Diceros bicornis minor: one gene and its partners. The protein of the gene in region 2 purifies or fractionates together with the protein of the main gene of each other region. This does not show direct contact. Links are inferred from orthologs where the notes say so. Each region holds a gene or a part of one and is shown on either strand. Other genes may lie near its edges.

Evidence for each region.
Region 1: the proteins of GDI1 (region 2) and RAB9A purify together in Homo sapiens (affinity purification with mass spectrometry; 3 studies listed by BioGRID and IntAct, counting the BioPlex papers as one, with this or other methods). This does not show direct contact. The link is inferred for Diceros bicornis minor from reciprocal best matches to the Homo sapiens genes GDI1 and RAB9A.
Region 3: the proteins of GDI1 (region 2) and RAB7A purify together in Homo sapiens (affinity purification with mass spectrometry; 4 studies listed by BioGRID and IntAct, counting the BioPlex papers as one, with this or other methods). This does not show direct contact. The link is inferred for Diceros bicornis minor from reciprocal best matches to the Homo sapiens genes GDI1 and RAB7A.
Region 4: the proteins of GDI1 (region 2) and RAB6A purify together in Homo sapiens (affinity purification with mass spectrometry; 3 studies listed by BioGRID and IntAct, counting the BioPlex papers as one, with this or other methods). This does not show direct contact. The link is inferred for Diceros bicornis minor from reciprocal best matches to the Homo sapiens genes GDI1 and RAB6A.

Annotation. Positions count from the first base shown.
Region 1 is NC_080781.1:11,084,306-11,092,243, forward strand, and holds the start of RAB9A (ras-related protein Rab-9A), read left to right. Parts: upstream 1-4,734; 5' UTR 4,735-4,874; intron 4,875-7,938. UniProt on the Homo sapiens protein: The small GTPases Rab are key regulators of intracellular membrane trafficking, from the formation of transport vesicles to their fusion with membranes.
Region 2 is NC_080781.1:138,372,282-138,380,202, forward strand, and holds the start of GDI1 (rab GDP dissociation inhibitor alpha), read left to right. Parts: upstream 1-4,557; 5' UTR 4,558-4,735; coding exon 4,736-4,780; intron 4,781-5,978; coding exon 5,979-6,086; intron 6,087-6,229; coding exon 6,230-6,329; intron 6,330-6,472; coding exon 6,473-6,607; intron 6,608-7,082; coding exon 7,083-7,281; intron 7,282-7,548; coding exon 7,549-7,680; intron 7,681-7,921. Other genes in the region: ATP6AP1 (V-type proton ATPase subunit S1), read left to right, coding at 339-379, 729-785, 1,142-1,227, 1,672-1,910, 2,522-2,569, 2,655-2,886, 3,155-3,364. UniProt on the Homo sapiens protein: Regulates the GDP/GTP exchange reaction of most Rab proteins by inhibiting the dissociation of GDP from them, and the subsequent binding of GTP to them. Promotes the dissociation of GDP-bound Rab proteins from the membrane and inhibits their activation.
Region 3 is NC_080741.1:93,394,133-93,402,092, forward strand, and holds the start of RAB7A (ras-related protein Rab-7a), read left to right. Parts: upstream 1-4,612; 5' UTR 4,613-4,700; intron 4,701-7,960.
Region 4 is NC_080746.1:57,117,807-57,125,968, forward strand, and holds the start of RAB6A (ras-related protein Rab-6A), read left to right. Parts: upstream 1-4,746; 5' UTR 4,747-5,190; coding exon 5,191-5,260; intron 5,261-8,162. UniProt on the Homo sapiens protein: The small GTPases Rab are key regulators of intracellular membrane trafficking, from the formation of transport vesicles to their fusion with membranes.

The DNA of each region.
Region 1 (7,938 bases), about 130 Mb from region 2:
TACATTTGGATGCCATAGAAAGTATTTCTATAGGTTGCTTAAAATCGCTTCATTAAAAAGTTTCCACTTATTGCTCAAAAGAATATTATAACATGGAATTCAAAATTTAAATAACAATTCTCAGAATCCTGCTGCCCTAATAATTCAACTGTCTTGATTTCCCTTGTTGCTTTTATTGTTTTTTTTATAAACACTCGTATGCACAAACGCCTGCACAAAGACACACAAATATACCTTTTTACATAATGTAACCATGGTGTGTCTGGAGTTTTCCTTCTACTGCCTTTAAAGGTGAGGGTCAGTTTATGACTCACGTTCATCAGGAAATCAACAAAGGCATCAAATTCCCCACTTCATGCCTGAATTCTAATGCCTATTCCATTCTGCCATCTGTGATTACTGGACTTAAGCTTTGTTGAGAGTGTGGTAGAGAAAGAGCAGCACTATTCAACATGCACTTATTATTTTTAAGAGAATACATTAGATCTAGTTATGCCTAGAGAAACCATTATAATTTCAGTTTTTCATCAATTATGAAGATTTTTTAATAGTTTGCATCTTTTCTTTATTTAGAATTTTATTGAATGCTTCTATATGTGAGGTTCTTGGCAAACTGCTGTTCCCTCAACTTGCACCGCTCTTCCACAGCCCTTCCCACTGCTGCTTGCTCATCTTTAGGGCTCAGCATGAGTCACCTCCCCATTCCTGCCTTCTCTGGTACCATTACCCTGTATTCCCACCGACTGTGCCTTGTTTATTTCCTTCAGGGGCCTTAATCCAACTTGTAACTGCACATTTGTTTAGTTGCTTATTGAATGTCACCTCCACTCTTCTGAGCTCTCCTAGGAAAGGGCCTGAATCGATTGTATTCACCAAGGTAAGGTCATATGATATAAACACAGCTGGTGGATGGGAGCGAAAACGCAGGGAGGGTGCCTGGGGACACCCCCTGAATTCCTCCTCAGTCTTGTCTACCTCTGTATTCTCAGCACCTGGCATAGTGTATGCACTCACTATATATTTGTTGAATAAATAAGTATTAATGTGAAATGACTTTTCGTTTTCTGCAAATCTTAAAATTACCCAAGGGGAGAGAGTAGCTGTGTGTCTATGCTGCAGGTATTGGAAGGGTTTGGGCTGGTGTGGTGGTTACCCACTAACTTGGGAGGTGCCAGTTGGGTTGGTTCCTGACTCCCATGCTCCCCCTCTCCCGACAGTGGGCAGGCTGATGGAAGGAAGTGTATTGGTGGCTTTTGACAGCCAGGTGGCCATTCAGCATCAACCACTGGACGGAATTCATGGGACCCATGAAAGGATATATGCTCTATCATGATTGTGGGTCCATTTCCATTTGATCACATCAACCTGAAGATTGCAAATTCTGAAATTTGCTCACTGATGATATATAGATTAAGGGTGATGCTACTATTCCTTTTTTGGATTCAGTACTCCTTTTTAAACTAAGCAGTAAAGAAATCAGACTTCTGGTATTTCCTCATATATTGAGATTTTATCTGACTTAAGGATCAGGAACAAAAGTTCTGTATTAGTGTAAGAAACATGCTGAATTTAGTTTCAAGACAAACAGGAAGAGTGTGACATTGGCTTGAGATATTGACAATATAAATATATAAATACATATAAATAAATGTTAGATAAATATTTCAATATCTATTGAAAAGTTATATATTATAAAAAGTGCTTCCTCCACCAAATTGGGATTTTCCTCCATATACTATTTGGTAATGTTCTTTTTCACTTAACATTATTTATTGTTATCTATTTTCACTCTGACTTTAAAGCCAAATATAACAGATTTTGAATTACTTTTTATGCTTTTCTTCCTTCTTAGTACAGCTATACAAGAGCATCTATGCAATATTGAGAACAAATCTCTTATTTTTGCCAATGACTTGGGAAAAATATCAAATTTCTGATTGTTTAGATATCATTTAATGGTCAAATTGCCTACCATTAAGTTCTGTGTTTTTCCTTATATGTGAAAAGTATAATCAATTTAATTATAATCAGTATTTATTACACTTGAGTCTGGGGCCCACTTACTTGTGACTTTTCATCAGAGATACCAGAGGTGACTTCTTTCAGACTCCAGCTTGAAATGGGGTATTAACTCCCAGTGCTCATAGTAACAAGTAAGTGTCATTTAAGGGAAGGAATTGTAACCGAACTCAATGGGTCTGTCTCTTGATGAGTGCAGAGCCAAAAATCACGACAACCAAGGCTGAAGTGGATGAAGAAAAAAGGTTTATTGCTTGCACAAGCATTGGGGAACACCAGGGATAGTCCCCAAAGCAGTGCACCCCCCCAGCCCACCAGCTTAGTGCAGTTGAAGACTTGATACTCCAGAGTGCAGAGGATATGTTACAACTGTGTAACAACTGGGCCTAATCAGGGTGCATGTGCAAGCCGTTACATAACCCCGTTCAACGCCATTACACGATGAGCTCAATGTAACATGCCATTCCATAACAGGTCCAAGGTAACTTTTGGACGCTTCCCGCTGGAGCGGTTTGCAATGGTCCTGCTGCAACCGTGTAAGTTTCACTGTAGGATGGCAACATCTGCAAAAAGGAGGACATCAACTTCTGAAAAATAGCACATTTAATTTTCTCATTGTCTGGAAAACATTTGACAGACTATGTTTAGTTGCGGATCAGATTTTCATTAACTCTTTCCTTGCCTGGTTTCTGGTCATAGAATCATTAATGCCTAGCAACCTTGACCTCTTTTTCCTCCATGGGTGATGCATTACAAGTTTACAGAATATAAAGACGAATATTCTAATTAGATGAAGGGCGTCAAACTAGGTCAGTTCTTAAATGTTTTTTGTCAGTCAACAAATTCATGGAACAAGAGAGATAGAGACCATCTATCTAACTTGTGTCAGCTTGCCAACCACGCACACCCAACAACAAAAATCCCCCAAACTCACGCTCCAGGGACAAATCTTGTGACCCACCCTACTCTTGCGCTGTCAAATCAATTAGGTAAAGAAGTGAACAGTAGAAGAGACCAGAATATAAGAATATTCTTGTGTCAGTTGGCTAGTGTCCAAGTAATAGTTATTTCAGAAAAAGTAACTTTCCTCCTTCTTTCTTCAAGTGCTGACTATAAGCTACACTCTGATAGGTTTGTATGCCTCACTTACGTTTTGGAATAGCCTAGGAATCACTTGTAGGACCTTCTTAGATCCCTTTTTTGAAAACTCTTGGATTTCTCAAGTCTTACTACTTGAAGTCAAGATACAATAATTCCGTGAGAGCACTTGTTAATAGCTGGTTGGTATTAGCAGTTGCAGAGATAAAATCCTATTCCATCACTCCTTGACTATGATTATGACATAGGATTTTCAGGTAGCATTTTCTTAGTGATCCCGTGGATTGCTTGTTGCAATTTAGTACATAACACTTTATATATTTTTTCTTTTGGAAAATTAACTCTAATGTTCTTATATTTTTATTGCATAGTTTTAATTATGTGTTTTAAAATAAGGTAATGAATATCTCTTCCCCCTCCCTATTTTCAACAGATTTGTATTTTATAAACCTTTACTCATACGTCCTTGGGGAAATATCTGCATGGATAAAACATAGATTTTTTCTATAAAAGAAAAATTCATTTAAGCTCAAACTAGAGCTCAATCTTTATTACTCATTTATGCCTCATTTTCATGAGTATTCTAAAATTGTCTCTTATACTTGTGAGAAACTCTCTCAAATATAACCTTTCTAGTGCTGAATGAAAAGACTACATTAGATTCATTACCTGAAAATGACTCCCCAAAGAGCCAGAGGTTATTTAATGGTTGTGGGCCTAGCAAATCATAAAAGTGAGATGCTTCTCTTAGAAAATAAACTAAATCTACCCCACAAAATATATTGAGAGGTCACTAAAAGTCCTTCGGATCTCCAGGGGCCTATATCGTAAGATCCATGCGCGCGACCCAATCTATAAAGACAGGAATTAGAAGAGCTTCCCCAATACCGCCTTTTCCCATTACTGCTTTATATTTAGAGATGACCGAGGCAGTATTTTTTTTAAATTTTTTATTGATGTCATAATAGTTTATAACATTGTGAGATTTCAGTTGTACATTATTATTTGTCAGTCACCATATAAATGCGCCCCTTCACCCCTTATGCCCCCCCCAACTCCCCCCTGGTAACCACCAAACTGTTCTCTCTCTGTGTTAGTTTCTATTCTACATATGAGAGAGGTCATACAGTGTTTGTCTTTCTCTGACAGAGGCAGTATTTTAACAAGATTAAAGAAAAATTTTAAATTTAAAAAAGTTCCTGTTGTTCCACAATATCACAGCTGTTTTCATTTTTCATTTACCCTTTTGTTCTTTGCACATTCATTTTCTCATGGTAATCACAACATCCTTGTGATTGTGCTTATGCGATCTGTTTATTTCCACTCTATGTAAACTTTTAAAGATAACTATCATTTCGTGCTGTCTCTCTCCGGAACGCAGCCGGAGGACACGAGGAACCGCAGACCCCATGAAAAACCGTGCTTCAGAAAGGACAGGCGGTCAGGGAGTGGGCGAGGGCGGGGCGGACCGGGACCTCGAGGCCCCGCCTCCCCGGGCTCCATAATCTAGGCCCCGCCCCACCGCCACGGGCCCCGCCCCGCCTCTCCAGGGCTCCGCCGTCCAGGCCCCGCCCCGCCTCCCCGGGCCCCGCCCCGGCCTGTCGCCATGTTGTTCCCTCTGTGCTGGACGGGAGCAACTGGAAGCGCACACGGTTAGCGCCGCTGCCTCCTGCCCGCCAAGTCCCGAACCCTCTCTTCCTCGTTGCACCCAGACGGACCGGCCCGGAGCTCCCCGGCGTCCTCCGTGTGGCCGCGAGGTGAGCGGGGCGCGGACTCCCGTCGGGGCTGGGCGGAGACAGGGGTCGGGTGCGCGGGGCGTCAGGGCCTGAGGGAGCCCCGCGGGCGGCCTGGGCTTCGGGCAGCTGGGGCGGGGGGCGCGCGGGGCCTGCGCGGGTCACTCGTCCGCCCCGGGACGGGGGACAGCTTATCGCTCGCTGCCTCCTATTGACTGACGCAGAAGGAAAGAGGGGTTCCCACACCCACACACCCGGGGAGAGGGACTCACACCCAAACACGCGGGGACGCCCTGAGAGACGCCCAGACATCCGGGGGTAACACACACACACCTGGGAAAAGAAAGATCCACAAACAGGGACACACGACCACCCTGGGAAAGAGAGATCCGTGAACACCTGGGGACCCACACATAGCCAAACACCCAGGGAGAGAGAGACATACACGCAAACACCCGGGGAAACACACGCACAGGGAGAAATATACCCGTCACCCAGGGACACACCCAGACGCCCCAGCCCACCCAAACCAAACTCTACCCTCGAATGGTTAACGTAGAGAAAGCAAAGGCGCTCTCACAGTTTGATTTTGGTGACCTCTGACCCGCTGCCCAGGTGAGCGTTTGCTACTGTGTTCTGAGCACTCAGGTGAGGCGTTTGGAATGTAAAGCCACTCCTAGGGGCTGAAGGCGGTTTGGGGCGTTATCTGATTCAAACTCTGGCTAAGGTTTCCGAATTGTGTTCCTTTCTTTCTTCCAACTGACTACGTAAAGAGGCCGGATGAGAATTTTAAGTGCAGACCAGAGCTGTGGAGGTATTAGTTGGTTTTGTTGTTGGTGTTTTTTCTTTTTAAGTGATGACACATCCCGTGACCACGGTTCTTTTGAGGAATGACTTTTCTGCTGGGTTCCAAATTGTCACGTGACCATAATCTTTTTATAGAATTTCAGCGTCCTGAGAAAATCAATACACAGAATTTGATTGCTTTTTTAAAATTAAAAATTTTTTTTACATGTTTGTCTTTCTGTCTCTGGCACCTCTGTAATGGAAAAATCCCTAAATTTCCTGTAATCTCAGAAACTGTTCATTGGAGTAAAACTGTAGAGATGAAGGAAACCCAGAACTCTTCAGTCAGGGACTTGTAAGAAGAGTATTCTTAGTTTGTCTTTTAGAAGTGTCTGTTGAAGTCATCATCACTACTTGTCTAGAACTTTCAGTGACTTATTTAGATTCCCGAACCTAGGATGATGGTTTGGCAGTCTGGTGCTTTTTGTATTTTTGTGTAGACATTGTAGTAAATTCCTCTTGCTTATACTAAAAAGTTTCCGGCTTGTTGACTTGTTTATTTTGGAGTTTTGTGATTTGGGGATATTTTTGGTTTATCCTTTGTGAGGTTAGAGTAGCCCGAGGAAAACTAAGTTGAACATCATTGGCCTTGACTCCAAGCCGGCTTCTTGGAGAAATGCTTGGGAAATACTTTAGTGCTAGTTGCTCATTGCCAGCCTCTCTCTCTTTTCATTTCTTTCCATCTCAGCCACTTCTTCCATCTAGACTACAGTGCCCTGGAGGCCTGAAGATAGGTTCCTTTGGTTGTGGAAGTTAATTTTTAGCCTTCTCTCATTTCTTAGCATTTCTTGGGCAGCCACTCGGGCACTGGATGTTCTGTGCATGTAAATCCTGTAATATATCATTTCATTTAATTCTCACAACATTTCTGCGGTATTAGCTCCATTTTACAGATGAGGAATTTGCTGGAGTATAGGAGAAGTAGAACTGTTTCCCGTGGTCACACAGGTAGTGAGAGGGCAGAGCCAGGATTCAGTCAGGCCTGTGTGAGTTGAGAGGTGTAGTTCTCAACTGGGGAACATTTGACAATGTCTGCAGGCATTTTTTTTTTTTTTTGGGTGAGGAAGATTCGCCCTGAGCTAACATCCGTTGCCAATCCTCCTTTTTTTGCTTGAGGAAGATTGGACCTGAGCTAACATCTGTGCCCATCTTCCTCCATTTTGTATGTGGGATGCCACCAGAGCATGGCTGATGAGTGGAGTAAATCCGTGCCCGGGATCCGAACCCACGAACCTGGGCAGCCGAAGTGGGGCACACGGAACTTGAACCACTCAGCCACGGGGCCGGCCCCTCTGCAGGCATGTTTGGTTCACACCTGAGAGGGAGTGCTGCTGGCATCTAGTGGGTAGAGGCCAGAGATGCTGCTCAACATCCTACCATGCAGAGGACAAGCCCCCCACGGCAAAGAGTTGTCTGGCCCAATCTGTTACTAGTGCCAGGGCTGAGAAACCTTGCTTTACAGCAGTCTGTGTGACTCCAGAGGTAACGTTTCAGCACCTCTGTAATTCTTCAAATGCGATGCCGTTTTCCTATTTAGGATACCTCCCCATCGTTTGAAGAAAGAGCTGGGGGAAAAATTTGAGAACTTGAAGACGTTTCCCTTGACTAAGAGGCATATTCATTCATTTGAAAGATGAAGAAGTAAGCAAATAATTTCTGATAACAGAATCCTTTTTTTTTTTGTTTTAAGGCAAAAGTGTCAAAGAGAACTTGAGAGCCGTTCCGAGCCGTTCCGAGCCGTTGAAGTAGACTTAGGGAGTTTGCTTTCTGTATTATTCCAGTTGTCAACAGACATTTTCTGAGTATCCTGTGGGGCACTGATACGAAGCTGCTGGTGATATGAAGGGCAGTGGGCAGTCCCCACCTCCCCGAAGCTTCCAGTCTAATTACCATCATAACATCAGGTTTTGATTTTGTCCTAGAACAAAATTTATTGCCCGGGCTACTCAAAATCAGGGGCCAGGTATCATTAAAAACAAACAAACAAAACAGCTGCACACCCACACACAGGTACCTGTATCATGGCATTTACTGTGGGCGGACTTAAGTGGGGAAAAGTTGATGTGTTTTTGATAGCTTTGCAGGTTGACCACGTGTGACTGTTTACAAGAATCAAATCGAGAAGCCATTCTTGTTAAGCATAAAATTCTTCCTTAAATTTAGCCTCAGTAGACAAGAGTTATGTGTGCATTTTATCATTGAAATCAAGAAATAAATGATGAAATTTTTAAAAAAATGACTT
Region 2 (7,921 bases):
TCAGGAGTTGGTGCCTGACACTGAGCTAGGCCTGTCAGGCTTCCAGAGACGAGGCAGAAGTGGGCCCTGCTGGTGGGGAGCCAAGTCGCCTAGCCGGGACCCTTTCATGGAGCAGGTGGCAGGGCCTTGAGTGGGTCTGTGAAGTCAGGGGAGAAGGGGCAAGGGATTCCAGGCAGGGCAATGAGGTGAGCAAAGGTGCAGAGGGAGGAGTGAGCACAGCTCCCAGAGCCCATGCTAGAGTGTGCCTGGTGAGTGGGGCTGGTGGGAAAGGATGGCAGCCTGGGGTGGGGGACAGCTGTTTGGGTTGCAGGGGCTCAACCGCTCTGTGTCTTCCATAGCTCAGGTCTGATGGCGCCGAGGGAGGTCCTCACAGGCAATGGTGAGTGAGGTCAGGGAGGGTGCACATTTTCTGTCCTCCTCCAGCCCTGGGCCCCAGAAAGCTGGTCTGCAGCTCCTCAGCCCCTCCTCACTCCCAGGGCAGTCCCCCTGCTTCGGAGCACCTGGCAGCTGAGTAGGGAAATGCTGGCCCCCAGACCTCACCCTTCTCCAGCTGGGCCCTGCCTGGCAGAGGAGTCAAGACATCTAGGGGCCTCCATGCCACTTTCCACTCAGGCAGCGTGAATCCTAGAGTTTCTATAAAGGACAGTCACCCCCATGGAAATGTCTTGTGAACCTTCCACAGGTGGATTTGGAGTTTTCTCTATCTCTATTTTGTTCCACTTAATTAGGGCTTGGCATCAGGGAGTCGACGACTGAGGCCACAGATGTCCAGGAGGAGGCTGGGGGTAGGTGGGATAAGAAGCAGCTACTGTTAGGGATCCTCACTGGAAACTGAAAACACTAGTGAAGGTTGATGGGAGCTGGCTCTGCAAGGGTCTCAGTGTCCCACCATAGAGGACATGCCAGTTGCCAGAGGTGGGGGGACTTCACAGTGCAGATGCCTGGTGGTCCCCACCTCAACGAGGTGATCTCACTGAACGCCATCAAGAGGGGGCACTGATGTGACGTGTGGAAGGGCACGGCCTTGCCTCTGCTGGCTTCTGCTGTGCAACAATGGTCAGATGGGTTCTAACAGGCGTGGGGAGCATTGCTGTAAGTGCCGCCCGTGACCTGGTTCTCTGCTCTCCCCGTTGTCCCTCAGATGAGGTCATTGGGCAGGTACTGAGCATGCTCAAGTCCGAAGATGTCCCATACACAGCAGCCCTCACAGCACTCCGCCCTTCCAGGGTATGTGCCTCTCCTCAGGGGCTCTGGGAGGTGTGGGCAGAGGCCGCGTGGTGAGTTGGCCTGGAGGGGGGATGACTTCAAGCAGAGTGTGGAGCGCATTGGGGAGGCCAGATTCTCCCCTGGGCCAATATGGGGGGAATGGGGGTGAACAGTAAAGTCCTCCTTCCTTCTTCTAGGCAGCAGGTTTCTGTTTTGCCCTGTCAGTCTTACGGGCTGGCATACGTAGGCAACAGTCCAAGTATTCCTAAGTTTGAGGGACTAGGATTCTCACAAAAGCTTAGGGGCCAGCAGGGGAAAGCTTCCTGGAGGAAAGGCCTCCAAATATGACCCTTGGGACTGCAGATGGTGGAGAGGGTGCCCAGTGGAGACAGTGAGGGCAGACCCACTTGGTCTGGGGCCTGCTCCCAGGGCTGTTGAGAGAAGGCTTGTGGACTGTTTCTGCAGGTGGCCCGCGATGTAGCCATGGTGGCTGGTGGGCTAGGTCGCCAGCTGTTGCAAAAACAGCCAGCATCGTCTGTGATCCATCCTCCTGTGAGTTACAATGACACCGCCCCCCGGATCCTGTTCTGGGCCCAAAACTTCTCGGTGGCATACGGGGACCACTGGGAGGACCTGACCTCCCTCACGTTTGGGGTCCAGGAGCTCAACCTGACCGGCTCCTTCTGGAATGATTCCGTTGCCAAGTAAGGGCAAAGTACCTGCCACTGCAGGGGTGGGGGGTGTGTTGGGGGGCATGTTCACTGTGGGGATGTAGGTGGTATCATGGGATGGGGCTGATGGAGGGCTCTTGGAGTGGGGCATGCTCAGATTTCTGCCTCCCAGTGCCCTCTAGTCCTTGACTGGGACCTTAGTTGTTAACACTTCCCAGTCACCTGGGAACCTGACGCCTCCCCCTTGAGCAACATCAAGGCGACTGCACAAGGGCGTGTACCAGGCCTAAACCAGCTCTGGGGCTCCTGTATCCTTCCTGTGTGATAAGAGAGACTGCCCTTACCCCCCACAGCCCAACCTGGGCACCTCAGTGACTCCAGGAGGGAGCTGAAAGGAGAGTCACTGGGCTCAAGGGAGCCCGAGGAAGGAGCCCTCAGCTGGAGGTGGGGGACGTGCATACTGGTTCCTGACTTAGAATGTGTCAGAGCCTGAGTTTTCCCATCTGTCAAGTGGGGTTGCTGTCTCTTCAGGTGGCTGTGAGACCCCAGGGCAGCTTAGGTAGGAGTAGATCTGAGGAATTTGCTCTGAGACATTCAAGGCCCTCCCAGAGCCTGACAACTTGCCTCTTACTCTGGTTCTGCAGGCTCTCGCTGACCTACGAACACCTCTTTGGTACCACAGTGACATTCAAGTGAGTCTGAGGGGTGGCTGAGGTGTGGGCGCGCTGGTGTGGCCCCAGCCTCCCCAGCTGCGTGACACCCCGTGGCCTCCCTCAGGTTTATTCTGGCTAACCGCTTCTACCCGGTGTCCGCCCGACACTGGTTTACCATGGAGCACCTTGAGATCCACAGCAACGGCTCCATTGTCTCCTTCAATGCCTCCCGGGTCACGGGGCCCAGCATCTACTCCTTCCACTGCGAGTATGTCAGCACTTGGAGCAAGAACGGCAATATCCTTGTGCCCCGCATGCAGCCCTCTCTCTGGCAAATCACGCTTCAGGACTTCCAGGTAGGGAGCGGGGAGCACCGAGGGACTGAGCCTCGAGTCCGCAATCCCAGGCTGGAGCTCACAGGATACTGGGAGAGGGGGGAGGGAACAGAGGCCTGAAGAGTCCCAGCATCCTTTGAGTTTGGGTTTGGGCTCAGGAATGTAGTTGAGAGTCCCATCCCCACGGTGCTCCCATCTCGTGAGATCTAGACTACCCACTCACTCGGGAATCCTGGCCCTTACTGGGCCTCCCTCTGTGTGGGGCTACATGGTTCTTTCTGTGCCCCAGATCCAGGCCTTCAGTGTGACAGGTGAGCAGTTCTCCTACGCCAGTGACTGTGCCGGCTTCTTCTCTCCTGGCATCTGGATGGGGCTGCTCACCTCCCTTTTCATGCTCTTCATCTTCACCTATGGCCTGCACATGATCCTCAGCCTCAAGACCATGGACCGCTTTGATGACCACAAGGGCCCCACCATCTCTTTGACCCAGATTGTGTGACCCTGTGCCCATGGGGGGTTGAGGGCATGATGTGTCCAGGTTGTTGCTTTCCCACCCTGAGGCATGCTGGACTGAAGGGCTTCCCCTCTTCCTACTATAGTGTGAACCCACAGCTCCCCTCAGTCTGTCTTGCTCCCTGTTCAACTGAGGGGCTTTCCTGGGGCTGCCCACCCCCCATCTCTACCAAGAAGATGTATATATTCTGCATTGCTAGTAGAAAAATCTCCCAGGTTTGGGCATTGTGAGGGGAGGGGACCTGAGTTCTAGGGCCCCTCCTCCTCCCCCTTTCTCCTTATTTATTCTCATCTCTCTGCCTTCACCCCTTGCTGTTTATAGTGCTTTTGTGGCCAGTGCTCCCTCCCCACGCTTTATGGGGCTCCCTGCAGCAGCCAGGAGCTGGAGGTTCCCTAAGTTTGGGGGTGCTGAAGTACTATTTAGCTGTCTGTCCCACTTGGCTGGTGTTATTGTTTTTTGGTGATGTTGTGCTAACAATAAACAGTACACTGGGGTTTATTTCTGTGGCCTGATAAGGAAGGGTCTTCCACGGCAGGTGGGCTGGGTATGATCACTGGGTTTCTGGCATGTTGCCGCCAGGAGTGCCTGGCAGGAGCCTGGGGTACTCGGTGGTTTCCTTCCTAATAAAATAAAGACGGGTCGCCATGCGTGGGCCTCTTGTCACTCATTTCTGCACTGGGCACGAGGGATGAGCTTGGCTTAGGGCTGCGGGAGGAGGCGCCCGGATGTAGCTGTAGCTGAGCCAGGCCAAGGGGGAGGTGGGGAGGACTCGAAGTTCCCCTGTGGGCTGCTTCTCCCGGAGCCAGGGGAGACCTAGAGGGTCTTTAGCAAGCTGGGCCCCTCACCGGCTAGCGTAGGGAGAGTGCCGTGGCGCGGCGGCGATCAACGCCTGAGGGAGTCGGCCGCTACAAAGGCTGCCCTCACGTCCCGAAGGGGTCGCCCTCGGCTGCCGCAGCGGCGCGCGCCCAGCCCGCGGGAACGCGCCGAGCCTCCCGGGGGGCGGGCGGGGCGGGCGGGGCGCGCGCTGCTCCCGCGCACGGATCCCTCGCGGGCCGCAGAACTGGCCGCCGGCCCGCCCCGCCCCGCCCCGCCCGCCTCAGGGCCCTTGCCCATCGCCGCCGCCCGCGGAGCCGCGGTGGTGCTGGGTCCCGGGCTCCGGCAGCCCTCCTGGGAGGCGAGACGGAAAGGCAGCGGCCCCGGTCGGGCGCGGCAGGGCGCTGGGAGGGGCCGGACTCTTTGACGCGGCGGAGGGGTCCGACGGCGGCCGACGCGCCGCCATCTTTGGTCCAGTGCGGCGGCGGCGGCTGTGGTGAAGGAGGAGGAGGAGTCGACTTGCGCTGGCAGCGAGGCCTGACCATGGACGAGGAATACGATGTGATCGTGTTGGGGACCGGCCTGACCGTAAGTGCGGCCTCGGGCGCCTGGGGTCCCGCATCGCCCCCTCCTTCCCGCGGGGCTGCACCTCCCGGCCGCCGGCCCCATCCTCCCGTCACTGCCCACCGCGGCGCTGCCGCCCCCGGCGCTCGGGTCCCCAAAAAGACAGCCGGGTGTCCGACCCCCCGCGACGTCGCCTCTACCCATCGCCGTGGCCCGGTCTCCAACAAGCAGCCCTCTTCCTGGCCGCCCCCTCGACTCCCCGGGCCCCGACTCCCATCCCTCCCCACCTCCCCATTCTGGCCTGCCAGGCTGGAAGACGCACCCCCCCACTCGTCCCGATGTCCTCCGGTGCCTCCTGATCCCCTCGCCCCTCACCCTCGCTCTCCTAGCATCCGCTCCTATCTTGGCGCTAATCCTGGTATGAGGACCTCGGGTCGGAGGGCGTCGCCGGGGTGGGCCGTCATCTTCCCTCCCCGGCTTCTTATGGGGCCTGGGGACCCATAGAATGTTCTAGAAAGAGCATCAGTGGGGGCAGTGACCACATTCCCGCTACCTCACCCCGGTTTCCCTTGGAGATCTCAGGCTGAGTATTATCTGCAGCCTTTGTCCTTGGGCTAGTGACAGTGATGGGGGAGGGTGTTTATCTTCCCCCTTCCTCAAACCCCGTTTGACCCCCCCCCCCCCCCCCCCCGAGAGGCTCATCTCCCTCAGTCGGGGCACAGAAACCCCTCCCGTGGCCGAGAAGGCTCCTGCCCTTTGAGGAAAGAGCAGCCCAGGGTGGGGCCTGCGATCTCAAGACCGGGTGAGCGTTTCTTCACTTCCCTTTCGGGTACCATTCGCTGTGCAGCTGGGTCTCCTCCGTGGATCATTGTGTCCTCCTACCTGCCTTTCCGTGGGCATCTACGTAGATAGAGGACTTTCTTGGCATGTTAGTTGCCGGAGGACCATCTGTGTGTCTGCTGGACACTCTCTCTCCCTCAACGCCGCCAGTGTTTCTCTCCTCCTTGTTCGCTCAGCAAGGTTATAAAGGAGGCTGTGGTGAGATGAAGCCGTTGCCCCCAATTTTAGGCGAGGCGACCAGCCGGGGGTGGAAGGAGCTGTCCTTTGGGGTAGAGTCCTTCTGGCTTTGCTCTTCTCTCAGGTTTGGAGTGGGGAACAAATCAGAGCTGCTAGTGGGAATGTGGGTAGGTGGGAAATGCAGTGAATGTCACTCCTTCCCCAGGAATGCATCCTGTCGGGCATTATGTCCGTGAATGGGAAGAAGGTGCTGCACATGGACCGGAATCCCTACTATGGGGGCGAGAGCTCCTCCATCACACCCCTGGAGGAGGTGAGGCTGCCAGGGCCAGGCCTATCTCTCATTGATCTCTCACATAGGGTACCGAATCAGCTCCCCAGGTTCTTTGGGCTGGGGGCAGGGGCAGGGAGGGCTAGTCCTTGAGGTACCTCTCTTTCTCTCCTTTCTGCTTGCAGCTGTATAAGCGTTTTCAATTGCTGGACGGGCCCCCTGAGGCGATGGGCCGGGGCCGAGACTGGAATGTTGACCTGATCCCCAAATTCCTCATGGCCAATGGTGAGGGAGACGAAGGAGGTATTGTGGGGGGTGACTGAGACAACCAGAGGAGGGTCAGGTTCCAGAGAAAGGGCAGCCAGACCAGCTAGAACTTCTGGAAGGAGCCATGCTGATATTGTTGTCTTCTCCCTACTGCCCCACAGGGCAGCTGGTAAAGATGCTACTGTATACAGAGGTGACACGCTACCTGGACTTCAAAGTGGTGGAGGGCAGCTTCGTCTACAAGGGGGGCAAGATCTACAAAGTGCCGTCCACCGAGACTGAAGCCTTGGCTTCCAGTGAGTGCACGTCCCTTGAGCCAGAGAATCATGGGAGGGCAGCTGTCCAGAGCAGGGTGCCCCGTGCCCAAGGTCACATTCCCCATGCAGTACCAGAAGCCCCTTGCTCTGTCTTCTCTGCACCACCCCAGGCTGTGCCTCACACTTGTTGCCAGGAGGGGACTCCATACACAGAGGGGATGTGTGGGGGATCTCTTTCTTGAAAGACTTAAGCCTTTGACAGGGGCTCCACCTAACAGGTGAAACATCCCCACGTGTCAGAACCAGGAGGGCCCTCAGAGCCTGTTGAGCCATCCCTCTTCATACAGATAGGGAAACTGAGCTCAAGAAAGGCAGAGCAGTTAACGTAAGGTCACATGGTGGTCAGCAACAGAACTCAGCTGGGAGCTGGGGTGCCTGCTTTCTCGGCCTGCCTGGTGGGAAGGAGAGGTTCACTTTCTGTGGTGCAAATGCTCTCCTCACATTGCTTTCGCAGATCTGATGGGCATGTTTGAGAAACGGCGCTTCCGCAAGTTCCTGGTGTTTGTGGCAAACTTTGATGAGAATGACCCCAAGACCTTTGAGGGCGTTGACCCCCAGAGCACCAGCATGCGTGAAGTCTACCGGAAGTTTGACCTGGGCCAGGATGTCATCGACTTCACTGGCCATGCCCTGGCGCTCTACCGCACTGATGAGTGAGGGGAAGCTGGCATGGTGGACCACCCCTTGCCCAGCCTGCACCCTGCCCTCCCCGCTCCTGCTTGCTGCTGCCTCAGCCCACCCTGTACATCTCTTGTACTTGGTCATACAGTCACCTGTGGCCTCTCCCGTCCCTTCCCTGCTTTTGACCCATAGTCTTCCCCAGGTCATTGAGGGTGGTGGGAAGGATGGCTTGGGGCCTGGGTAGGGAGAAGCCAGGGGTGCTGCTATTGGAGCCTCTTCTCCTGAACCCGTCCCCCCAGCTACCTGGACCAGCCCTGTCTTGAGACCATCAACCGCATCAAGTTGTACAGCGAGTCCCTGGCCCGGTATGGGAAGAGCCCATATTTATACCCACTCTATGGCCTTGGTGAGCTGCCGCAGGGCTTTGCAAGGTGAGGGCATGGCTTCTTTAAGTTGTCAATACTGAGTAGGATTAAGGCCAAGAATGGAAACGGCTCCTTTGAGCATTTCCATAGCATTTTCTACTTTCCCATTGTGGTTTTAATTTACTTCACACCATCTTTGTGTGATGAGGCACTGCAGCAGTGCATTGAAGCACAGAGTTGAAGAACCAGGCCTCCACAAATGGGGCTTGCTCAGCTCCCAGCCTGAGTCAGGCAGTGCCAGGACTGG
Region 3 (7,960 bases), on a different chromosome or scaffold from region 2:
TTAATGTAATACAGTATAATAATAGAATAAAAATGAAAGCGAAATTAAGATTTTCCCATGTAAACAAAAACTGAGAGAATCTGTCACTAGCAGACCTGCACTACAAGAAATGCTAAAGGGAATCTTTCAGGCTAAAATGAAATGATACCAGACAGTAACTCAATTCCAAAGGAAAAAATAAAGAGCGCAAATAAAGGTAACTACATCAGTAAATATAAAAAACAACATAAATATACTTTTTGTTTGTAGCTCTTTTTTTTCTTCTATGTGATTTAAGCCATAATTATATCTATTATGTGGATAAAAGTGCAAAGGCCTGATGTTCCTGTTTATTTTGGTTTGTGCTGTCCAGTATGAATGTCATTGAAGGACAAAGAGGCACCAGCACTTGGGGAAGTTATTTCATTCCTGTGCCCTATTTCCTGACTTGTAGCATCTCTGACTGGCTGGGCCACAGACCCATAGTTGTGTGCAATGGGCCCAGGAGGGCCAGCCACTGGCTGCCGGCTCAATGCTGACCTGAGTGGCATTCCTGCCACAGATCTGCTGTGCACCGTGATGCCATGCATACCTACCCAAGATCTCAAGCATGATGGCTAATCTGTCTTCTTCATGGCTGGTTTCACTTTCTCCAGTGGCTTTTTTTTTCTTTTTTTGCTGAGGAAGATTTGCACTGAGCTAACATCTGTGCCAATCTTCCTTTATTTTGTATGTGGGTTGCTGCCTCAGCATGGCTGATAAGTGGTGTCATGTGCCCAGGATCCAAACCTGTGAACCCAGGCCACCAAAGTGGAGCAGACCAAACTTAACCACTACACCATGGGGCCAGCCCCTCCAGTGGCTATCTTTTGAGAACTACAGAACTTCGGGCACCTAAAAACTCATCCAAACCTCGGCACTAAAAGACAACCAATCTCTAGAATGACTTCTAGCAGCATGAGGCCGTGTCCTTAGGATGACCCCAGCCCCCCATTAAAATGCCTGCCTGAGAAAGCTCAAACACTGCCAGCAGAACTCACTATTCTCACCAACACCTGACTTCCTTTTCTTAGAGCATTTACTAAAAAGGGCTTGTAATTATGACTCTTTACTCTGTCCCTTTGAGATGTATCTACTACAACTCAGGAGTGTCAGGATTATAGGGCCACCGGGCTGGCCCTATAATCACCTTTACAGTGACCTACACTTTGTAATTTTCCACTGGAGCCCCACTCTCTCTCCTTCCCTACCCTCTTCCTTTAAAACTCCCAGTCACCTCAGTGCAAATAGGAACAGAGCTCAGCTCTTCCCTTGCTGTCAGCAGTTACTGAGTAAAATCTGCTTCCACCACTCCAGCTGGTGCTTCAAACCTTGGCATATGCAAATAGTTTTAAAACAAGGTAGATTTGCCTGTGGGAAGGAGAGAGAGAGAGAGGACTGGGAGGAAGCAAGCAGAAGACATCAGGGGGCTAGGAACGTTGTTTTTCCTGATAAGTGGTGGTTACACAGGTGAGTTCACCTTGTGCTAATTCATTAAACTGCTCACTTACGATTTAGGCACTTTTCTCAATGTGCTTTGTTTCAGTATGAAAACAAAGCAAAAGAGTAATACTCAGTAGAGAAGCTGACATAAAACAATACATACTATATTACATATTTATATAAATTCAGACATACCCAGAGAAACTATACTGTATTGTCCATAGGTGTACACTTTAGTGGTGTTATTTTGAAGCAATGCTTCTCAAATTTGAGCACATCAGAATCATCTGGAAAGCTTGTTAAAACCACAGACGGCTGGGCCCCCTTCCAGTTTCCAATTAAGTAGAATTGGGCTGGGGCCTGGGAATTTTCGTTTCTAACAAGTTCCCAGTTAATGCTGGTATGGTTGATCCTGGGACCACACTTTGAGACCCACTGTTACAAAGAATGGCAAGGAAGTATTTACCATAAATGTCAGGATAATGGTTATCTCTGGCGGGTGGAAGGGGCTTGTGAACGGTAAAGGCGCACAAGGGGGAGCTGCTGGGATGCTGGCGACATTCTCTTTCCTCACTTAGGTAGTGATTACATAGATATCCACATCAAAATAATTTATTAAATTGAACATTTGTTTTATGCACTTTTTATATATATTATGATTCACAATAAAAAAAAAAAGGTTAAAGCAATTTTAAAAACAAAAGAAAAAGAGTCTGCATCCCTAATGGCACACTATGCCCCATAGGCCTCCTTGGACTACTTATTCCATGAGATAGATTAATTCTTGTCTGTTTAAGCCACTAGAGAAGGGTATTGTGTTATTTGCAGCCAAACACAATCATAATTATATGTGATAATCTTGGAGCTCATTCCATAATAGCACTGCTTTATTCTTTTTAAGGGCTGTATAGATGTGTCATATTTTTAAAACCAAACCAGTCCCCCATTGATGAACAATTAGGTTGCTTCCAGACTTTTCTATTCAAACAATGCTGGATTGTATTGGTGGGAGAGAGGGAGAATCTCCCTCTGCCCTTTTCCTTAAGGTTCTTATGGCTGGCCAAATAATTAACAAGACAGGTTAGCAGGAGAAAATAATACCAAGTTTAATAACATGTATACATGGGAGAAAGCAGGGACATGGCGTTTCTCAACACAATAACAGAAATTCTCGTCTTAAATACCATGTTCAGCCAATGACAAAGGAGGATGTTGGGGGTGGGAGGAGTCAGTTACAGGAGTTACCACTAAAGCACAGTAAACAAGAGTAAGGTTATTATGCAGATTTAAGGCCTCACCTTCCACATTGATAAGTCTCTAGAAATGAGGCCATCTCCCCTTTTCCCAATACAGAGAGGGCGATACCTTTACAAATGGAGATTTCCCTTATAAATGTAAATGTTTGTCTGGCAACTCCTCGCAGGGCCATCCAGAGAATGTGGCCAGAGAGACATAAGATGGGCTTGTTGGTGCCTTTTCTATTGTAACATCTATTTTACATTATATTACAGCCATCAGATAGAAGGTCTGTTCCAGGAAGGAGTTACTATGTCAAATTCTTTAGACAGGTAGTGGGGGAGGTCAACTGTGCCTCAGAGAAAACAATCAAGGTAAAGAGATATATTTCAGGGTGGCCAAATCTTGATCTCCCACAGTATCTCTTTGTACATATGTCTGAGCACATGGGGGAGCCCACCTGTAAGATAATTTTCTAGGCCTTGAAGTGCTTGATCAAAAGATTTGTACAAGGGATTATTCTAAGTTAACAGACATTATACAAATGTACACTCCCACCAATAGGTATCACAGTGCCTGTTTTCCCCAGCCTTGCCAACACAGTTTCCCATCAAAAGGCACACCAAGTGATGGCGGAGGACACCAGAACTCTCTCTCTTCCTAAAAACCTGGCTAGGGGGCCCTATTACCCTGGTTTTATAGGTAAGTAAACAGATTGCCAAGGATAAGGGACCTACTTTTCTCAACTTCAGCCTCCATTTCTGGATTGGATTAACATCTTCTAAGAATAGATATGGTAACTGCTCCGTGTCATAGCGATTATTATTATTACTATCATTCCCACTTCCCATTCTGCAAGCTAGAAGCCATTTCTTCACTTCTGGTGCAGACAGGACAAAAATTGTGTTCTAGCCTCTCTAATCCATTCCCTCTGGTACTCCCTGAGGCCAGTCCTTCTTCTCTTCCTCCCACCCTCTTCTCTTCCCTCCCCTAATGAGCCTCTCTTCAGAAGCCCCATTGCTCGTCACAACAAGGCTGCAAGAAGTATTGGTTCCTGTTTCTTTACCATCTTATTAGCACATACCCCGACAGGGTCCTGTTCCCAGAGAGAATGTGTAGTGGTTAAGATCAGAGACACCCACCCCAAACTGCCTGGGCATTGCTACTGGCTATCCTGTAACCTTGGACAAATTACTTCTGCTTTCCTCACCGTCCTCATTTGTAAAATGGGAATGCTGATACTCCCTACTTCAGAGTCGTAGGTTGAGTACAGATAATATGTGCCTGGCACGTGGTTGTTGTTGTTATATTACTATTATCAATGGAGAAGAAACTAATACTAAGAACCTGGCACTGTAATCTGAAAAGTCACTTAATCCTCGCAACAGTCCCCCAGAATAGATTGTTATTCCATTTTAGAGCAACGGGCGAGAGAGACCGCTAATCCCATCTCTGCCAGGGTTTAGCAGAGCGACCAAGAGTGCGAGTCTGTTTTCTCCCCTGTAAACAGTAACAATAACGCGTGCCTCGCCCTGTCCTGCGGAGTACTAACAGACCACGCAGAAGCCCTTGAACAAACTTGCTTTCCTTCCCCAGTTTCCCATCCACACGCCCCGCCACACCCCTATCGCTCAAGCGCAAGTTCACATTTCAGTCCAGGCTCCCCCAGTCGTCACAGCCGGGACGCGTGACGTCACGGCCCCGCCCGAGCAGACCCGGAAGCAGAATCCCCTACAGGTCCGAGCTGGCATTACTGCTCGGGCCCGCTGCCAGAGGGCGCGAGAGTCGCCGATGTTGGCTAGCACCTCCCTTGTTTCGTCGCAGGCCGGTCCCGGAAATGGAAGCGTTTGCCGTACAAGATGGCTGCTTCCTTTGTGGTGGTATGGAACGCTGAGAGGCTGTCCTGGTTCTGGGAGGCGCGGTGATCTGAGCGCAGTGATTGCTGCGCAGCCTTCTCGTACAAGTTAGCTGCTGAGGAGTTTCCAGGTGTCTTTCTTGAGGCGGTAGGTGGCCACAGGTACAAGATGGCGGCCCCCACTGCGGGCTCGCGGCGGGCGGGGAATGGGGGCGGCGTGCGCGGTTGCGCAAGCGGGGCGGCCCTCCAGCAGGGTGCGGCTGAGCTCGCGGCCGGCTTTTGTGTGCCGGGAGGGTGACGCCGCCGGGCCGCGCTGTGGAGTGCTGAGACCCGGGTAGGGGATTTTGCTCCCAGCAATTGAGAGAGGTGGGCAGAACCGAGATTCCTGGAAGCCGCAAACTGACTCCTGTAGACAAAGACTCGTTTTTTGCTATTTTAAGCCGTGAAACCAGAGTATAACCAGGTGAAATAAATTGGAGTAGATCCTTTCAGAGAACTAACCTGCCATCGCTAGAAAGAGCAAAGCGGCACTTTATATACTAATATATATTTTTTTTGCTGAGGAAGATCAGCCCTGGGCTAACATCCACACCCATCTTCCTCCACTTTATATGGGACTCCGCCACAGCATGGCCTTACAAGAGGTGCGTGGGTGCCTGCCCGATGCGAACCCGCCAACCCTGGCCCAGCAGCAGAGCGCATGCACTTAACCGTTTGCGCCACCAGGCCGGCCCCACAAAGTTCTTTTATAAAATTATAGTAAAGAGAATAACACGTTTAAAAAAAAGTGAGCTTTTTCAGCTGGAACCATGACATTTAATGAAGATTCTTGAGATTGAATTTGTAAGGATAAAAATTTGAAGGTCGGTACTGTAGTACTTGCTGCAAAGGATACAGATCCATGTGACAACCTGAGCCCTCTTGAAAGCTAGATATAGGTTTGGTTTTGTTTGTTGAGGGGAGGAAGGGAGATGGGGGGTTTGGCTGGCACACAGAATGCGCTCAAGACCTCCCTGTTGAATGAATGCCTAAATGCCTGTCCACTGCCAACACACGTGTTCTCAGCAGCTTAGTCTTGCTGGTATAGCTTCTGATATTTCTAGGGTTAGTATAGTGGAAAACAATAGCAGCATTGAATTAGAGTTTAAACCGAGTGTGTTTTTTGGCCTTAAAATCATCCAGAAATGTGTTTCCAATGCTTAAAAAATAAAGTAGCAGCCGTTTCAGAATTGGCATTGATCTTGGGAATCGCATATTTGAATGTGAAGGAAATGCCAGTCCTCCATGACCGTACTGAGCCTTTGCTAGTGTGCCAGACACTGGACTAGTGGGCACTCTTACATGTACCACTCTGGGTTATTGGGTGTATTAAATATGGTAATATATGGAGCTGGCCTGGTGGCATAGCAGTTAAGTGCACGAGCTCCACTGTGACGGCCAGTGGTTCGCCAGTTTGGATCCTGGGCGCGCACAGACCACCACTCGGCAAGCCATGCTGTGGCAGCGTCCCATATAAAAAAGTGGAGGAAGGTGGGCACAGATGTTAGCCCAGGGCCAGTCTTCCTCAGCAAAAAAGAGGAGGATTGGCAGAGGTTAGCTCAGGGCTGATCTTCCTCACACACACACACACACACACAAAAATGGTAGTATAACTGGAGTTTAGCCAAGTTCCTGACCTGTACTAAATGCTCAATAAATATTAGCAATTACTATTTTGGGGCAACTGTGAGTTTCTCGATTCAGTACATTTTTGCCTCTGAGACCTTATGGAGACTTTAAAAATATGGTAGCTACTGTAGAGAACTTACTGTTTTTTTTTAATCAACTTAGAGGCCACATGGTATAATGGAAAGAATTTAGGTCCTTATTGTGTTTCTTTGAGTAAGTTACTTAACCTTTAGGGACTTTAGTCTCCTCATGTGTAAGCCGAGAATCACAAAACCTCTGTTGGAGGCTCACTGTGAAGATAATGATTAGAAGTAATGTATGTAAAGCACTCAGTAAGTGTTCTCTAATTCTGTAATATTTCAACCTCAGAGTTAAGGAACTAATACTGCACTCAGAGGCAGGAGAACTTCTCTGGTCAGGGGCAGGAGTAGGCGGCCACAGGGTGACAGTTAACACAGGAAGCCTACAAGCAGAAATTGGAGGGATGACAGGTCCACTGGCTTCAGGGCCTTAGGCTTCCTCTCTCCATTGGGAAAATGGTGAGGCCGCCACACCAGGCAGATATGGTCTGCAGGCCCTTTGCAGAGGTGCCCCCTTGCCAACAGCGACCTGCACTGTTTCAGCTCACAGTCGCCTCTTTGGAGCATCTTAACACTGTCTCTCAGAGGCATCAGCCACTGTTTATGAGGCTCATTCCTCATACTTTAGTATTTAATATGAAGTACCTACTGCATATGTTTAAATTTTTTTTAAATTTTAAATTGTGGCAAAATATAAATAACATAAAATTTACCATCTTAATATTTTTTAAGTGTACAGTTCAGTGGCATTAAGTACATTCATATTGTTTTCTCCAGAAGTCTTTTCATCATACAAAAAGATGAAACTCTACCCATTAGCAATAACTGTCTGAAACTCTGTACCCATTAAATAATACCTCTCCATTCTGCCTTCCCAGCAGCCCCTGGGAACCACCATTCTACTTTCTGTCTCTGAATTTGACTACTCTAGGGACCTCATGTAAGTGGAGTCATATAGTATTTGTCTTTTTATGACTGGCTTATTTTACTTAGCATAATGTCAGAATTTCCTTCCTTTTAAAAGCTGAGTAATACTCCATTGTATGCATGTTCATATACCACTTAAGGGGAGCAAAATATGCCACCCCAAAATGTGCCACTTTGGCATGTGGGTTATTTTGAGCTGAAGGCAGTCAAGACCTAGCAGACTCAGGAAAATCTTTTCCCTCTCCCTTAACTGCCTAAAAGAGTTTAAATAGGGGCCTGGCTGAGGAGGAGAGCAATTACCAGAGATTTCTTTTTATCTGTAAGACTTACCTGCGTGGCAGGGCAAACATCTGCTCTTCTTGTCTTCTGGTGCATTGCCTTTCTCCCTTTTGAAGGCTCAGGCCCTTATTCCCTTCCTTAGGTCAGGATAGCATATAAGCCTCAATTGCCTGACAGCTTTTGGGTCTCATGTTTTTATGGGGCTCCCATACATATGAAATTAAATTTGTTTTTCTCCTGTTAATCTGTCTTATATCAATTTAATTATTAGATCAGCCAAAGACCCTAGAAGGGTAGAAGGAATTTTTTCTGCCTCGACACCACATTTTGCTTATCAATTCATCTGTTTGTTTTTTTTTTTTTGTGAGGAGATCAGCACTGTGCTAACATCTGCCAATCTTCCTCTTTTTTTGCTGAGGAAGACTGGCCCTGGGCTAACATCCGTGCCCATCTT
Region 4 (8,162 bases), on a different chromosome or scaffold from region 2:
CTCCACCTTGACTAAATAACCTTTATACTTCTCCATTGGCACATCATTGTAGGTCAAGGTATTTGGAAAACAGGTTTTGACATGAGGTCTTCTCCTTTTTTTTTCTTGTAGTCTTTTTAAAATGAGACTTGCTTAAACATATCTTGTGTTAATTGTGCTCATTTAATTGGTCACCTTGAATTATTGAGCATTTGTCATTTTTATGCTTTGTATATTGACCCACTATTATTTTTAGAAGCAATTATTATAATAACCTGCAGAGTGGCTTAGAAGGGCTTCACATTTGATAGAATTTGAGTTCCTGCCAGACCTATTATTTGTTTCAAATTTGAGCACTACGATTTCAGTCCTTTTACCTGGGCAGTTTTTCTCCTTCTATTGATTTCCTGCCTCTCCAAGAGTAATAAATCCTTTTTAGGGAGTAGTAAACAGAAAAAAGGAACTTCCAGTTTCATAACTACTACTGTATTTTATACACACACACACACACACACACACACACACAGAGTATTGAGTGCCTAATGTTCAAAGAACTGTGTGAGGTGTTTTAAGAGATCTAAAAACGAGAATGTCAGATGCTTTCAGCTGCAAGTAACAATGACAAAGACATATTATGAAGACATTATTAAATATAAAGATATTTATTATTTTGCTAAAAAGAAATCCAGAGGAAGGCCAGTTCCAAGGTTGGTACAATGGCTCAATGATGCCTTTTAGCTTTCTGCTGAGCCATCATCAATGGGTTGGCTTTTTTATTCAGGAATATATATTAATATTCACAAGATGTCTTACCTCTACATCCTGTGTCTTTATATAACCACAACCAATGGCAGACAAAGGCAGTTTTCCCTCATCTATCTCTTTTCATCAGGGAAGAAAATCTCAGAAGTCTCTGGCACGTTTCCTTCACCTCCCACCGGCTCAGATCAAGTTACGTGCTTATAGCTTGGCTGAAGGGAAGTTGGAAAAGTATCTGTCATTTCCAATATACATCGTGGAAGTGTGTGTGTGTTTTGTGTGTATATTGTTGGATAAGCAACCGATAATGTCTTCTACAAGGAATAAGATGAAATCTCAGTCTTCCCTCAAGAAGCTTTGTGTCTCTCAGGGCTGAAAGAAAGGCTGTAATTATAATTTCTGTGTGGTAGATTCCCAGACACACTCAAAGGCTTCAAATTAACATCCCTTTTAAATTGGTCAAAGAAAACTGGTCTAGGTAATTTTGATTTGCAGCTGCCAAAGCTGTCTTCTTCCATTGTTGCCAATTTTTAGTGATGAGATCTGTTCTGGGCATCTTTTTCATAAGTGATGTTAAGGAATGTAGTATCAACTTACATAACGTGATTTTAAGTGATGTTCTCTTTCTCCCAAATGCTCTTGCCTTTCCATCTCCACATGCCCAAATCTCATTCATCTTTTGAAGAAAGCTAAAAATGATCCCTCTCACTTATTTCATTTATTCAGCAAATATCTGTTCCATGCTTACTATATAGCAAGCACTCTGCAAGTGCTGGGGATACAAGACATGAGCTCTGACCTCATGGAGCTTACAGTCAGGCAGAGAAGACTGATAATTAATAATAATTAAGTGATGGGGAAGAATAGAGTACAATGAGAGGACAGGCATTACATTGTTGGTGGGGATGGGAGCAGAGAAATCTTCTTGAAGACTTTTTAAAGATGATACCTAAAGGATGAGTAGGAATTGGGGAGGGGGAGAGGGGAAAGTATTCAAGGCAAAGAGAAAAGTGTGTGTAAATCACAGAGGTGAAGATGTTGGTGAAAGCACCCTTGAAAAAAGCCTCTTTAATTTCTCCTTATCCCAAGTAATTTCTCCATTTGATGAACCAGACAGCACTAATATGCAACTTTTAGACCACAAGATTTCTGATGGCAAGACATATGATTTACACAGAGTACTCAATAGATATAAATGCAGCTTCAGAGGAGAATGAGGCTGTATATGTGTCAATGCAAAATGCCAGCTTAAAACACTAAAACATCTGAGGTAAGAGGTGGATTATATCACATCTCTCTTCAAAATGACAGGAATAGCATCACTTGTCTAGGTAACTACAGAGACCAAAGCAGCAGGGAGGAATTGATTCATAAAGTTCTGCAGGAAGTACAAGGTAATTATAGTTCCAATCCTCAGATGTTACTTTAAAGGTTATTTCAGGAAGCATAATGAAAACCTGGTACCCATCAGAAAGAAAAAATAGCCACTCACTTTTGTTTGCAAGAGCTTTTCTTTTTAAATGGTCTCTTGGTATTGGTTGCTCTTCGTGTGTGCCAGGGTTCTGGGTTACTGGTAGGGAGGGCCTTACCAGACCTGACAAGCTACTTTTAAAATCAAATATTTAAAAAAAAATCTAATGTCCATGTAAGAACTCAGTTTTTTACCATTTCATTTTAGATACATGTTCCAAAATCCTTTTGCCATTTGGCTGAGAGGAACCAGAAGTGAGTAAATTTTGATAAAGGAGGAGGTTTGGGGATATAGCAGTTGTCTTGATAGGCCAGAATAGATGATATTTTGAGAACCTCTATTTCTCCCCTTAATTTATTCTAATTCAGCAATTCATTCCCAGTTTTGAGAAGGCACTTGTTTGATCCCGCCGTTTTTACAGCTAAGTAAATAATAACCCCCAAATAATGAGAAAATGTATATAAATGTGTTTTGTGAATGGTAAGGCACTATATATAAACATAAGGACTTATTTTTTATTATCTTGGGAAGTATTTTTGATACCAGTGTTTAAAAGTGTCTTCTTCAAAGGCAGGGATTACTTTTTTGGATGCTGTCCCATTGTATGGTGAGGTGTGGCTGAAGTATGGCGAGGTGTGGATGCCAAATTCTCTAATTCAGAGATTCTTAACCTTTTATTTATTTCTATTTTATTAAGACTTTTTTTAAAAGTTTTAGATTTACAGAAAAATTGAGCAGACAGCACAGAAAGACCCCATATACCCCCTCAAGTTTCCTCTATTATTAATATCTTACATTAGTATGATACATTTGTTATAATTAATGGGCCAATATTGATATATTGTAATGAACTAAAGCCCATATTTATTCGGATTTCCTTAGTTTTTGCCTAATGTCCTTTTTCTGTTCCAGGATCCCATTTAGTTTAAAACTTATGTTCAGTTGTCATGTTAGTTAACATGTCATGTTAGTTACATCCACATTACACTTAGTTGTCACGTCTCCTTCAGCTCCTCTTGGCTGTGACATTAACCTTCACTTTTTGGGTCATGAACTGGGTTGAAAATCTGATGAAAGCTACCGATCCTCTCTACAGAAAAATCCACATGTTTCAGACGTCTAATTTAAGGGAGGTCCACCCATAGCAGATTCAGAAACCCTGCTTTAGGAGGCAGAGTGATCTTTAAAATATCCCCTTCCCCACACTTGGGCTCAAGTTCAGGCTCTACCTCTAATTTGTTGTGTCACCTTTTCGCAAAGCTGTTTTCCTACGTGGGCCTCAGTTTCACCATCTGTGAAATTAGGGTTTTGGTTTACATGATGTCTAAACCCTTTTCTAGCACAGTGGAAGGTGGGCGTCACCTAGAGTTGTCAATATCTGAGGAACAAAGGCTGGTAACAGAAGAGAAGCAGTCAGGCCAGGGAAGTGGATAGGCTTATCAATAGGAGGTTGCAGAGGTTCGATGGAGGAAAAAGACTAAAACCTGGGTTCCGCTTCATGGCTTCTTTGGATTTTGTAATGGATTTGGTAAGTCATTTCCTTCCTCTGAGCTTCAGTTTCCTCATCTGCAAAAACATAGAGGCCCTGCTTCTGGTAGTTATGAAACTCCTGGGAGCAGGAGCAGAGAATATATCTACTATGACATCGTGTGAGGAATTACCATAAGAAAGATGGATGGGCCAGCCCCATGGCTTAGCGGTTAAGTGCACATGCTGCGCTACTGGCGGCCTGGGGTTCAGGTCCCGGGCGCCCACCACCTCACCGCTTCTCCAGCCATGCTAAGGCCGCGTCCCACATACAGCAACTAGAAGGATGTGCAACTATGACGGACAACTATCTACTCAGGGGCTTTGGGGAAAAAAAGGAGGAGGACTGGCAATAGATGTTAGCTCAGAGCCAGTCTTCCTCAGCAAAAAAAGAGGAGGATCGGCATGGATGTTAGCTCAGGGCTGATCTTCCACACACACACAAAAGAAGATGGAGAAGGTGGGTGCATGAACCAGTGAAGGGCGGATCTAAGCAATGTGAGGCTAGGTTGAGGGCTCAGGAAAGAGTAACCTAGTAACACACCTTATAGCCCTCCGTCCACACCACACCTTGCTGCGGTCAATACCATCTCCATTTTGGCCCCGCCTCCGCCCGACCTTCCTGCCTCTCCCTTCAGACTGCGACGCGCCACACTTCCCATGGCAGCCGCCGTGTAACTCTGTCCTCCGCGCTGGTGCCGCGCGCGCTCTCGCGCTGCCACCTCACTCCCATCGCTGCCCACCCTTGGCCTCTTCCGATTGGCTCATCAGGTAAGTGACGTTAATGCTCCTTGTTCCACCCCTCACTTCCCGCGGGCCCCGCCCCACCTCCTCCTCGCTTCTCCCTACGCGAGTCGAAACGTAACCTGCCCTCGTCTGCGGGAGAGCAGGCTAAACCAGGAAGGCGCAGGCTGTGGCGCGCACGCGCACGCGCACGCACGCACGCTTGCACGCCGGCGGCCGGCTGGGCGGCAGGCTCGCGCCCGGGCTCGCTCCGCGCCGCACCAGAGGCTCGCGCACTCAGCAGGTTGGGCTGCGGCGGCGGCGGCTGTGGGAGCTGAGGCGCTGCGTGTGAGAGGTCCCAGACGCGTCTGCGGGTCGGCTCCGCCACCCTTCTTCCCTGCAGCCCAGGCTCCGTGGCGGGCGCTGAGACGGGAACGGCGCTAGCCTTGGGAATCCCGAGCACACCCCTGGCTGCTTCCGACACCGCCCTCCTTCCCTTCACGTCCGCGGGCCTCGCTCGGTGCTAGGCGACTCCGCGGTGAGGCGGCGGCGACGGCTGCTGATCTGTGGAGAGGAGTCCTGCCCTCCAGCCTTGCTCCGCCGCCGGGCCCTGCAGGGACCGAGAGAGCTCGGCGCCCGCCCTTCCTCTCGCCTTTTTCATCAACCGGTCGGAGCAGCGTCGGTCCGGGAGGTCTCTGGGCTGAGGCGGCGGCAGCTCCTCCGGCTCCATCATGTCCGCGGGCGGAGACTTCGGGAATCCGCTGAGGAAATTCAAGCTGGTGTTCCTGGGGGAGCAGAGCGGTGAGTGCGCGGCTCCCCCACTCTGGCAGCTGGCCGGCTTCCCCGCACCGCCCCCAGTGCGGCCCTGCCGTTCGCGGAGGCTCCCCGCCGGCCTCGCGTTCACGCGGCGTTCCACCCCCAGCCCTGCCCCGTGGTCGCCGGCTCCTCTTCGCCTTGATCCGCCGGTCGGATTTTGACCCTTCCGTCCCCGACTTCGCCGTCTCCTTTCCCCGCAGCCCGGCCCTCTCCCGTGGTTCTGCCCTCCCCTGGCCTCACCCCGCCCAGCCTCAGCCTCCTGTCCATCCCTTTCTTCCTCGCGTCTCCGTCGTCTCACCACCCCCAGCCCCCTTCCTTGATCCCCACCCTTCTTCCTTGCTCTTATCCCAGTTCATCAGCTTTATGAGCCCACCCCGGGAAGCCCCAGTTCGGAGAACGGGCCCTCTTCAACCTTGGGCAAGGAGGGTGGGATCTGGGCGTTGTTTTCCCCAGAGGCTCGGCCCTGAGAAGTGCGGATCTTATGGAAGGGGGAAAGTGGGGGGTCCTAGAAAATTCTGGGATGATTTTCACCTGGGTGGGGAATTAGTCTGAGTTGTAGAGGAGATATATCTGATTTGGAGGATGGAGTAGTTGGGGGGCTGGGGGCGGCGGCGGTGGCGATTTTTGCCTCTTGGGTTAGGCTGTGCTTGTTGTAAAACCTCGTTTTCTTCTCTTGACTTTCATCTCTGACAATTCTTTTGGCAGTGTTGATGCTTTTCCGATCTCTGCCAGATGCTATGTCATGATCATTTTACTTAGAATTTTTCACATCTCACCTCTCTTTTTCTCGTTTCAACATGAATCAGTGTCTGATTCTCCTCATGGTGGTGCAAACAGGAATTACTGGGGAAATGTTAATTATTCCATTTCTTCTTGAGTATTTTCCAATTATATATTTAGAATTCCTGTGAGAGAAGGCTTGAGAATAACGAACATCTTTGTTTTGTAGGATTTCCTTTGGGGTTAGGGAGTAATGGAGTAGAGTAGGAATAGATTTGTCATCCAGTTATCTAAATTAGATTTAAATATGTAATATCATTTTGAGTAAATGATTCTTTTATGCTTAATATTCCGTAGTATCTAATGAGTGAAATTGTTATTTCATTTATCTGGTCAGGCTTCTACTGTCGCTGTACTTTGTATTAGATACAAGATCCTAATTTTGTAATGGCTGTCTCTAAAATTACTTCTTGTGGTAATTCCAATTTTCTGCAGTATTATGCAAACTTGACACTCGACAATTTAGAGATTATCATCCTCCTTTGTTTTTCTCACACTTTTCATGACCATCTTTAAAATTCAGACATTGAGAGATGATGAGTTCCTCCCAAATCATCCAACATTGAGTTACCTACTAGGTGTCTTAGGTTAGGTTATAGAAAGCATTCGTTATTTGTTTTGGTTGGAAAGAAGATGATTGATATAAATTAAGAGCTTTTATTAGTGTCTTGAACTATTTATACTAATTTCTATGGCATTAAAGTGGGTTAATACTAGTTGCAAAATTGCTTCCAGTTGGACTGAGAAATTATTTTTCTCCTTTCATACATAATCTTTCCTGCCACCCCCCTTACCAAGGAAAAATATAGTCTCTTTGCTTATGAATTTTCCTGAAGGAAGTATAAACTTGTTTCTTTAAGTAACTTAGTAAGACCTATGAAGTTGATCCTGGTCCAGATATTTTATGGCAATTTCAGGACAATGCCATACATAAAATATAGCCTATTGGTCATTATTGATAAATAGGATCTAAAATGCTTATTGTGCACTCTGGGAATGTTATTGCCTGCCTTATGTTGTGATGCAGAGCTATTTAGTTTTCATGAAAAAATGCATTAATCTCTGTCTTAGGAAAATTTTAGTGTGAATAGAGATCATAAGTATCTGTAGGTTTCCTTTGAATTTCTTGAGCATTTATATTCTAATTCACATTGCAGAGTTTTTTGGCTTCTCATTTCTTACTTTGTCTTAACTAACTCGCACTCCCCCCGCGTAATTCCTGAAACCATCTTAGATTTTTTTTTTTGAATAGACTGTTCTTTAGAGCAGTTTTAGATTTAGAGAATAATTGAGAAGATCATGTAGGGGGTTCCCATATAGCCCCACCCGATTTCCCCTATTGTTAATATCTTACATTTGTTACAATTAATGAACCAATATTAAAAAAAGTCTATAATTTATTCAAATTTCCTTAGTTTCTATCTTTTTCTGTTTCAGCATTCAGTTCAGGATACCACATTACATTTAGTTGTCATGTCTTCATAGGCTCCTCTTAAATGTTTTTTTAGGATTGTATTTACATGCTTTTTAACTCTGTGGAACTGTAAGGTTAATTATCTTTTGAGATTGCTATATTGCTAAGTAATGCCGTCCAATAGCTTTGACAGTGAAAGATTGATCTCTTTTTTCGTGGGCAGTGTCTGTAGTTTTCTTATGCATTAGGAAAGGTCTGTAGAATCCATGTCATCTTGATGTAACTCTTCATGAATTATTTATTTTTTGGTTTTAGAATTCCACAGTTCAGCTTTCAAAGACTAATCTGTGGCAAAGCCATGGTCGTCTGCTTAATGGCATTTACCACGTTTATTATTCTTATTTTTTGTGTGTTTTGTCTATTTCCCACAGCAGAATGCAAGTCCCATGAAGATTAAAAACTATTATTTTTTTGTTCATTGTATCCCTAGTGCCTAGCATAGTGTCAGGCTTGTTGTATGTACTCAGATATTTGGTGAGTGAATGATGGTTGAATCTACTAGTAACCAGAGCTAGTAACCTATATTAATTTTTGCTATGGTGAAGTCTGTATTTTTTCCTTATGCAATTAGTAGTTTAACAACAACATTCTCTACTTACATTGTATGCAGGGATACTCTAGATACTGAGAGTA